3 linked regions of the Schizosaccharomyces pombe genome follow. The protein of the gene in region 1 purifies or fractionates together with the protein of each later gene. This does not show direct contact. Each region holds a gene or a part of one and is shown in the gene's direction. Other genes may lie near its edges. The genes, in order: wdr83, cwf18 and syf2.

Region 1 (3,481 bases):
GCCTGATGGATCAACTGCAATGCAAGAAAACTGAACCCGGGATGGAGCCGTAAAAGTTCTGAAATTACGATAACGTATGAGGTCCCAAGCTCGAACTGAACCATCAAGAGAGCTACTAAAGAGTACATTGCCTCGCTTAGAAAAACAAAGGCCAGATACTGCAGATGTATGCTGAGTAAATGTAACGATACAAAAACCAGAATTCATATCCCAAACTTTTATTTTTCCATCGTCAGCACCAGTAATTATTCGCTGACCATCAGAAGAGTACTGCAACGTACTCAACGCATCATAATGTGATTGCTGTTTTAAAACATATGATTCTGACTGCCATTCCCAAACAAGCAATTGTCCAAGTTTACTAGAGCCAATAGCAATCCAATCTCCTGTCGAATTTACAGTTAAAGTATCGATATTAGATTGGGTAATGCTCAATTGGTATAACATTGTAAACGAAGGTAATTCATATATACCAAAAAGCCCGCTAGAGAATCCCACTACCAACAGATTGCTAGTAGGATGAAAGGCTGCGCATCGTAATTTTGAGTTTTGGTTGAAATAATGTCGTTCCTTAATCAACCAAATATGCGTCCGAGTTTTATTTTCCTCTGCCTCTTCGTCAATTACCTCTCCTGCTTGGAATAGAGGCGAGTATTTCCAAACAAATAGGGCGCCATCTTTGCTCACAGTATAAATGGTTTGTTGGTCTTTAGAAAAAAACCCCGATACTACTGTATTTTTATGACCAGTAAGAGCACAGGGATGAAAACCTTCGATAGGGTCGACAGAATGTAAACGAGCGGTCAGATCCTTTGAAGTAGATATAAAAAAGCGAGAGTCGGCTGACCAAGAAATTGAGACGATGTCGTCAAAATGGCCAGTATATTCACGATGCAATACAAAAGGAGCAAATTCCCTTTCCTCTAAAGAATTAGGCGTACGCCAAACTTGTATTAATTTTCCCAAGGAAACCGCAAAAAATTTGCCATTAGGAGAAAACTCAATTGCACCAACTGGTGACTTAAAATTAAAATAATGAAGCACACTTCTTCTCAAAAAATTGCATAGAATGCATCGTCCTTCTTCATCCACTGACAAAAGAAGTGTAGATGTAGGTGACAAAGCTATATGAGATATGTTTTTATGATTTTCAAAAGGAAACGTATAAGACGTGTTATCTTTTAGGTTGTATACGCTTACACGATTTCCAACAGGACTTAAAATAGAAAATCCATCAGGAGTAAAGACTAGATTACCTTTAGAAAAGATTGTTCCTACTAAGTTCGAAAACCCAAATTCAGTTTTCATTTTCTAGTTCAATCCGCACGTTTTATGCGGATTATAACCTAATTAAAAAAAGAAAACAAGTAATTTGCAAAGGAGATTTCCTCAGAGTATTTCTCAGGACCTTTCCAGCAAACTGCGGAATCTTGGTATTTGGATAGTTGTGAAGTTTGTCACACTCAATGAGAGGGCCACGACAAAAAATTTTTGGATACATGTCTTGAGTCTACAGTTTACGATAAAACAGTTTTAATTGGATTTTAATAAAAAAATTTTGAAATTCAGTAGATTACCGTCAATCAAAAAATATTTTTATGCGGTGATTTGTAGAGTTTTCCTTACTTGTCTAAACATAGTATTTGACGGTCATACATTTTACAAGCTCTGTATTACAGGTTGAAGAACTGAAAAAGATCGTGTTCCTAGCATCCTTTTGTAATGCAAAAACAGTATGCGATTGGAAGCTAAAACTAAGCTGAGCTCTAAAGCAAAAGAACCTATTAATGTCGTAAAATATAACAGGACTGGAAAGTACGTCCTTGCTGCTGGTAACGAAAGGGTTGTGCGACTTTGGAATGTAAAGAGCGGCGCATGCATACATGAATATGCTGGACATGGTCATGAAATACTAGATTTGGATTTAGTCTATGACAGTACAAAATTTGCTAGCTGCGGCGGTGACAAATTCATTCAAGTATGGGACGTGAATACTGGAAAGGTAGATAGAAGACTTGGAGGCCATTTGGCTCAAATTAATACAATTCGTTATAACGAGGACTCCTCCATTTTAGCTAGCGGTGAGTGTGATTGTTACGAATAATCCAAAATCTAATTGTTTACAGGTTCGTTCGATTCTAAAGTTCGATTATGGGATTGTCGGTATGGGCTATTAATTCTGTTTTTATTCTACTAACTTATTTAGTTCTAATTCTTTTAGCCCTATTCAGGTCTTAGCAGATGCGAAAGACAGTGTTTCTTCTATCGACATTGCTGAGCATCTTATAGTTACTGGATCAACTGATGGCACTTTAAGAACATATGATATTCGAAAGGGAACATTGAGTTCAGATTACTTTTCTCGTAAGTGATCACTTGTTTCAAAAATTAACAAATTAAATAGATCCCATTACATCAGTCAAGACTTCTAAAAGCGCATCATTTTCTTTGATCTCTTCTTTAAATTCATCTATTCATCTACTTGACCAAGAAACGGGTAAAATCTTGAAAAGTTATATCGGTCTGAAAAACATGGAGTACCGAGTTAGATCTAGCTTTAATCAAAGTGAAACAATTGTTTTCAGCGGAAGTGAGGATGGTAAAGTATATCTATGGGATTTAGAAAATGAAACCCAAATAACATCCACTTCCGTTGTTGGTACTCCAATTGTCACTGATATATCTTGTCATCCTACTATGGATGACTTTATCATAGCTACTGTTCATGGTGATTTGTTCATATACCAGTACAACTGACCACCTCAATTTCCCCAATTGCAATTGTGGTTTGAATAGCTGGAAGCGAATGCTGAAATTTAATTACTAAAGGATTTTATTAAGTTTAATTAAATTAATATCATCTATAATGCAATATTTGTAGTCTATAATATGCCTCCCAAAAAGCGCATGAAAAATGGCTCTTCTTTAAAATCTACGTCTAAAAAGGGTGAGAAAAGCCGAAATATTATTACAATTCAAGATTTGTTTTCAAAACGAGAAGCACAGCTTACAGATACACCAAACAAATTGCTCACCGATCACGATCAAAGCGCCAGCGATTATGCTTATGCATTAAAGCTTCAACAGCTTTTTGATTCTGAGAACCAAGCTACTGCTCCGGAAAAGCTTCCTAAAGATGTAATTATACCTGAAGAAGAGTATCATACTGACACATTTAATGTTGTAAAAGAAAGCAATGATAAACCTAAGGAGAATTTAGTTACAAGCGAAGAATGCAAAGCTTCTTTTTTCTCAACTGATAGCGTGAACAAAGATTCCACAATTGATTACGATGCTTTACAGAAAGATCCTTTGACTTACGTGAAAAGTTGTCGAGCCCGATTTGTTTCAAAAGATACAAAAAGCTTCAGTTACTCATCACTTGCTAACACCTTTTCCTTAATTAGTTCTACCAAATCCAGGATACGCATTGTCACATTATTAACCAATTTCCTTCTCACACTTCTGTATGCAGATCCTG
Region 2 (3,349 bases), on another chromosome or scaffold:
AATATACATCCAAGCCCAAGAAAACTATAATACGCTAAATAAATTTTTCCTTAAATAAACTAAGTCAGTAAAAGTGCATTAACGCATCCATCTAACTCTGGGTTGTTGGTGATTTGAGCATATTTACCCCAAACAACTTTACCACCAGATGTGACAAGACCTAATTCACTGACATTAACCTCAATAACGGTTCCTTTTGTCAAAACACCGAGTTGGGTATAAGTCGGGCTTTGAGGATTTTTCTTAACCCCAATTATAGGAAGTTGCATAGTAACACCCAATTCTTTATGTGTAACATTGGCTTTCTTTTGACGGAGAGCCATTGGGCGAATAAAACGCTCATATTTAACAGGGCGGCGAGTAAATCCATCACCAACAAAGGTAGCTTTAGTAATCATACGCTTCCACGAATTCTTCTTGCTTTTGCCTGTACGAATAACCTTGAACATTTCTTCTTCAGCAACACCACGAACTTGAGGTAAAGGAACAGAATATTTAGCTGCCTTTTCTTTTCTCTTTTGCTTAACAGCAGAAGAAAGCATCTTAGCCTGCGATTCTTGTTCACGATCAAGCAAATAGGTTGGAACAGCACCTTGAGTTTGAGCATCGGATCCACGTTGAGTAGCATTTCGTTCTTCGTGTTGTTTGATACTGATAGAGTTAGTAACAGACTTTAAAAACTTTTTTAAATCAATGTACGACATGACGTTTAAACAATCAAATCAGACATCTCAACTTCACCACTTCACTGAAATTTTTATTAGCAATAACTCATGACATACGTTTTCTTCATTTGGATCTTCTCTTTGCGTCTCTTCTCCTGGTACAATTTCGCCTTTATACCACGAGTCTTCTGAGCATAAAGACTAGCATCGTGAGCTTCACGGGCAGCTTTTTTTCTCCTGAAATAGAAGTGTTAATAAAACTCTCAATTGACAATAAATCCAAAAAAATTTACTCACTTTCTTTCTTCATGATCGAAACGACGACCATGCTTGCGAATAGATTCCTCAATATACTCGTTTTGAGGCATTGATTGATATAGGCAAATAGCAAGTTAATTTTTTGCATGTGTGCTGCACCGGTATACGATGCGAACCAGACTTATTGAATGACAAGCTCTGCTGCCTTAAGTTTTACTATCGATTTTCAGCGACAACACGTTAAAAATAAAAAATTATCAACGATTACACTACGCCATAATGTACTACATTACGCCTCATTATATGTCATATGCTGACATATCTTTTAAGATTCGTTTATTGATAATTAGGGGTAAGTATCCTTCTACATGCATGGATTCCCGTGAATAGCAACTATTTAGAAACAAAAAAATAGAGCTTTAGCTGAACTGAGGAACGAAGTTTAGTTATAAGCTATATTAGTGATAGGTAACAATACAGCATATATGGTATAATACTATTGTACGTTACTGTTTATATTACCTGCATATTGCAATATAATATGTCACAAGGAAAACTCACTGCAGTTTTACGTATCCGTAAAACAGATACCAAACTGCGTAGATGACAACAACGAGCTTGGTTTGCATTTTCCTAACTTCTCAATATTCATATACATATTCTGCATTTATCAAAAATAACTAGAAAGTAAAACGATCTGGTAGTTCGTCGCTATTAGGTTAATATAAAATTACACACTCAATTTTTGTTTTTGTTTTTTGATACTGCTGATTAGGAACTGGAATTATTGTGCATTGTCAAACTCTAGTTAATTCTAGGAATTTTAACATCTCTCGATATTAATCTTATTACTTACTACAAAAAAAGTATCTTACTACATTCATTCTGGTTTTATAGTGTGGTTTTTCCGAATTTTGTGTTTTTGTATTGGAACAAAAAATGTCTTCATTAGATGAGGTAGCAGAGTCCAGAAAACAGAGATTAGCGGAATTGAGGAAAATAAAGCAGTTAGAGAATAAAACTCGCGATTCTCAAGAGGTTCAAAAAAATGTAATTGAGCATCGAAATTATGATCCAGAAGTGCAGGCACCTAAAATGGGATTCGTGGAACCGCCAAACATGATTGAATCAGTTGAAGCATTATCGAAGGAGATTGAAGAAAAGACTAAGAGAAAAATTGAAGAACAAAGTTCTGTTCCTGTTGAAGAACTAGATTTGGTAACTTTGCGACCTAAAAAGCCTACATGGGATTTAGAAAGAGATTTAAAAGAGCGAATGCGGTCTCTGGAAACACAAAATCAAAATGCAATAGCATTTTATATACAACAGTTAATTTCTGAACGTGCGCATAGTACTGAAAAAGCTTAAAGCAAGACTAATGCTTTCTAATGTTGGATTTACTCTCTGTTAGTTAATATATAATTCATAGGCTTAATTATTGCATTGATCAATTGTTAAAGGAAATAAGTTTAGGATTTTACATTTTATACTTTTCTAGTTGCGATTGTATTGGAGGTATGCACTTCTATTAAAATAATATTACAGCTTTAATTCTAAATCCGACCACTTCTTAATGAAGGGTTTGGAAGGTCAAATTTCCGTTCAATGATATACAATAAAGAATGAGCAAGTCTCAATTTGAAAATTACATAAGTGAACTTATCCAATAAGTATACCATGATTCCATATCGAGAAAATTGCTAAAATTATATAAAAAAAAACCTATTTTCTTTCATAAAAACAATTAGAGCTTTCATTTTCTATTACCTCATTATTCACTATTCTACGAACATTTTCTCGTAAAACTGACTAGACCCATCAAAAAGTGTAGCATGGATCATGTCAGAAATCTTCTTTGATAGCTCGAGCGTTATATTTTAAATGGCATTGTCCATACTTCGGATACTATTGTAAAAGGTCAGATGGCAACTTTCCAAAATCTACCTGATCGAGAGTATTTGATCCACCTTGTCGGACCACAGAGATACGTAGACGCAGTTTGACTTGAGAACCCGATGGCCCATGAACCCGCAGGGTTTGAGAAGTTTCTCCACCAGGCTCCATACTTGTAGTCCTCAAGGGCTGAATTTTCAGTTTCTGTGATTTGGGAACTGCCACTTCTAGATGTATTTTCTCAACCCTAGTCATTGGATTTTTATTTTTAAATTTAGCTTCAATGACGGCTGTTTTGGTACTTTCTTCTTTGGATGGCACCAAAGTTAACGTCACATCGTGTTTATCAAATACAACAATAGGAGGGTATGATTTGGAAGTTGATGGTATGGAAGAAAGCAAAGACAAGTTGTTTGATGGTTGGCTGGCTGAAGCATTAAAGTCCAAAGAAGCAAAGCTGCTTGCCAAGCTGTCAACCGGTTGAGCTGAAGGCGCCGGAGAAGCAAATAAACCAAGGATATCTTCAAAATGAC
Region 3 (3,169 bases), 1.8 Mb from region 1:
ATTTTTATGAAGAAAAATTGGATGTGAGAAAAAATTCTACAAAGGTGTAAGGTTATATCTCTTTGTAGCAAATTATTAGAAACTTCAATTCTAATTAGGTCACTCCATGAAAAGTATATATACGCATAATTCCAATCACTAACGAGTAATTTTTATGCAAGTACAATATCCAATAAATCTAAGAGGAATGTTTGCACTTTTGTATGGATCCAAATTTATAACCGAATACATACAACAAACGAGGGAGGATATGTTGAGAAGTCATGCGTATGCAACGTTGAAAAACAATCTCAGTTTTTTAATCAATTAAATACAAATTCTTAGCCTTCAGCCTTATATATCGACTTGTCATTATTAAACAGTACTCTCGCCAACCCAAAGGACATTATTGCACCTATTAAAATCACGTTAGTATAAGACAAAAACAAACTAACATGTGTTTCGAAATTGAATTATCATGTGCTATTTAATTCACGATAAAAATTTGAATTCTAACATTTAAAATTTACTAACCTGATCAAAATCTCACCTAAATCTCCTGTTTTTACACCATCGACTAACTCCTCTGCATTTAAAAGTTGCAAATTCATATAACTATCTACAGACTGCAAGGTTCCTTTATACTCTTGACCCCATTTAAGACGAACAAGGACAGGTTTCCCAATAAGACCTTGCAAAAAAGGTTTCGGGTTTACTGGAACAAAAGACATTTTCTTATGGAAATCCAAACCAAATACTTGTTAGGTTTAAGTTGATGTGCTTAGAGATGAAGATGTACGTTTCTCCTGCAAGAGGTGAATGTTCTGCATCTACTTGAGGATATAACGTATTACGGCAAAAGACGTTATCCCATCAATTCGTCAAATCCTGCGACTTGTTCTGTGTTAAAGTGTTTAGTTTTTTGAATGGCAAGAAATTTTCGAAACAAGGGCACTTCTTTGAGTAAAACTTCCCTTTTATAATGGAATGTTTAAACACGGGCACGGGCTCTAAGTCTGTTGATCGCATGTGTCATTGAACTTTCGAATAATTATTTATCTATTTTTAAAGGATAACGTGGATGATCTGATTTCACTGCAGAAATAAGGTAATATGTTCACAGCTAAAAACATATTGTCATTAAATTATTTTTCAATAATGAGATGTTAACTATGCTAGTTGGATTACTGATATCATTCGGCTTTATGTGATCTAAACCCCATATTTTAATGCAGAAAAGTTAGATATGTTTTAGCGGTGAAAGGAGCAAGCTCAAGGTTTTACTTTAAATTATAAAATCATAAAACAATAATCTATTCCAACTGGATTTAGGAAAAAAGATAAGAAAACTGAGAGCAAAGACACAACATGAATCATGATCAAAGGCCTTTTTTTCTTTATTAACATCCTGTAAAATCCGATGAGTTTATAGTTAGGTTTAAAACCGAGCACTTTTCCTTACCTTGTGACATTTGTTTTGTTTTGTTTACAATGAATAGAGCAGTATCCATAGTCAACGTAAATTCATATTGTGAGGTAATTATTTGTTCATACATAATTGTGTAGAGTAAATGCGTAGCACACTACAACAATTAAACTTGATTTCTGAATAGTTGTGGTTTTTTTAAAAATTAGAGGAAAAAACTAAGGGGCAAAGAATTTTAAACACAATGGACTCGCCTTCTCACTCACGTGAAGCACGAGTTGAAAAACTAAAAAAAATTCGTGAACAAATGGTATGTTCGTTAACTACTTAGCTATTTTGTACGGCTAACCAAAGTTTAGAGGAAATCTTCTCATGAAAATCGTAAAGAGGTAGTACAAGAGCATTCACGAATGCGCATTGATCCTGCTTTGGAGCGGCGACTCGAACGAAAACGAATGGAGGCAGAGGAAGAGCTTGCTAAAATCGAAACTGAGGAAGAAGGAGGAGACTTTGAAAGACGAAGAGCTTGGGATTGGACGATTGAAGAAAGCGAGAAGTGGGATCAGCGATTACGAAAGAAAAAGCAAACAATTCAGAATGTGGCATTCTCAGACTATCATTCTCAAGCTAGCAAAGATTACAACCGTGGCATAAGAGATCTGAAGCCGGATTATGAAAAGTATGACAAGGATAAAAAAGAAGAAAAAAGCAAGTCTCGATCCGTCGCTTTATATGACGAAGCAGAGCGTTTGGACTGGGTGTCAAATAAACCTGATAAGGAACACGTCGAACGTTTAGTGGAAAGTATTAAAAAACAAGACCAACGAAGGTTAAAAAATACCAAACGGCGTGGTACAGATGAGGAAGACCATATTACATTTATCAACGAACGTAACAGAAAGTTCAACCTCAAACTTCAGAGATTTTACTCAAAATACACGAAAGATATTAAGGAAGATCTGGAACGAGGTACGGCTCTTTAATCATCTTATGCTTTTTTTATTTGCTTTTACCAGCCTTTCTTGTTTTACCGAAACCCAACGCGCAACGTAAGAAAGTACTCTGGCGTGGCTGGCATATACTGGGTAGGTTGGTTTTACCGAAACCTGTTTATGTGGCTGGATAAAGGATGTCAAAGGTACCTGATGTACGAGAAGTATTTATATTCGAAGATTGCACATTTTCTGGGTAATGAGCAGTTTGAAGGTAAGGTAATAACGACTCTGTGACTTCCATGCCTGCATCCACGTCCATCCCCGAAACTCCTTCGAAGTTACCAGACGCATTGCTGGTTAATTCAGATCCTGCTTCTAAAGTTGATAATGTTTCTGTTAAAATTGAACAAGAAAGCCCTTTAGCTCTTGAAGGAAGTCCGTTACCTACAGTAAGCGATGTTCTTCCAGAGACTAATAATGCACATGAAGAGGTCTCTTCTAGCAGCTGGTCACTTTCGTCCTCTGATTCTATAATGAGCTATGATTCTTTGTCCGACGATGTTTCAGTTTTATCGTTTCTAGATTGTCCCCTTACAACTTTTGAGACTGCACCTTCCATAGCAAGCTTTTCGAACAGTGCAGCTGATGTTAGTTCACACTCTCGTTCTTCTAGCAGCTGGAGTGCAAAGCTCTCTCGGTTTACAAAGCATGCTTCTAAACCTTCACTCTCTTCAAACTCTTCTGATTCCTCATTTTCCAAATCTGGTTCGGAGTCAAACGCTCTTTCTTCTAGAGGAAGTTTTGAACTTGAACCTCATGGTATCCATAG

What was found.
Region 2: the proteins of wdr83 (region 1) and cwf18 purify together in Schizosaccharomyces pombe (affinity purification with mass spectrometry, with the first as the bait; one study listed by BioGRID). This does not show direct contact.
Region 3: the proteins of wdr83 (region 1) and syf2 purify together in Schizosaccharomyces pombe (affinity purification with mass spectrometry, with the first as the bait; one study listed by BioGRID). This does not show direct contact.

The regions. Positions count from the first base shown.
Region 1 is NC_003423.3:874,615-878,095, forward strand, and holds wdr83 (WD repeat-containing protein), read left to right. Parts: upstream 1-1,624; 5' UTR 1,625-1,735; coding exon 1,736-2,081; exon of another isoform or gene 2,082-2,126; coding exon 2,127-2,163; exon of another isoform or gene 2,164-2,206; coding exon 2,207-2,364; exon of another isoform or gene 2,365-2,404; coding exon 2,405-2,757; 3' UTR 2,758-2,854; downstream 2,855-3,481. Other genes in the region: pwp2 (U3 snoRNP-associated protein Utp1), read right to left, coding at 1-1,308; adl1 (DNA ligase), read left to right, coding at 2,890-3,481.
Region 2 is NC_003421.2:2,404,057-2,407,405, reverse strand, and holds cwf18 (protein Cwf18), read left to right. Parts: upstream 1-1,605; 5' UTR 1,606-1,862; coding exon 1,863-2,291; 3' UTR 2,292-2,763; downstream 2,764-3,349. Other genes in the region: ribosome biogenesis protein nsa2, read right to left, coding at 60-651, 783-902, 963-1,033; AP-1 adaptor complex gamma subunit Apl4, read right to left, coding at 2,829-3,349. UniProt on the Schizosaccharomyces pombe protein: Involved in mRNA splicing where it associates with cdc5 and the other cwf proteins as part of the spliceosome.
Region 3 is NC_003423.3:2,683,231-2,686,399, reverse strand, and holds syf2 (SYF2 family splicing factor syf2), read left to right. Parts: upstream 1-1,559; 5' UTR 1,560-1,649; coding exon 1,650-1,715; exon of another isoform or gene 1,716-1,764; coding exon 1,765-2,388; 3' UTR 2,389-2,564; downstream 2,565-3,169. Other genes in the region: Sm snRNP core protein Smf1, read right to left, coding at 355-394, 514-710; cfh4 (chitin synthase regulatory factor), read left to right, coding at 2,640-3,169.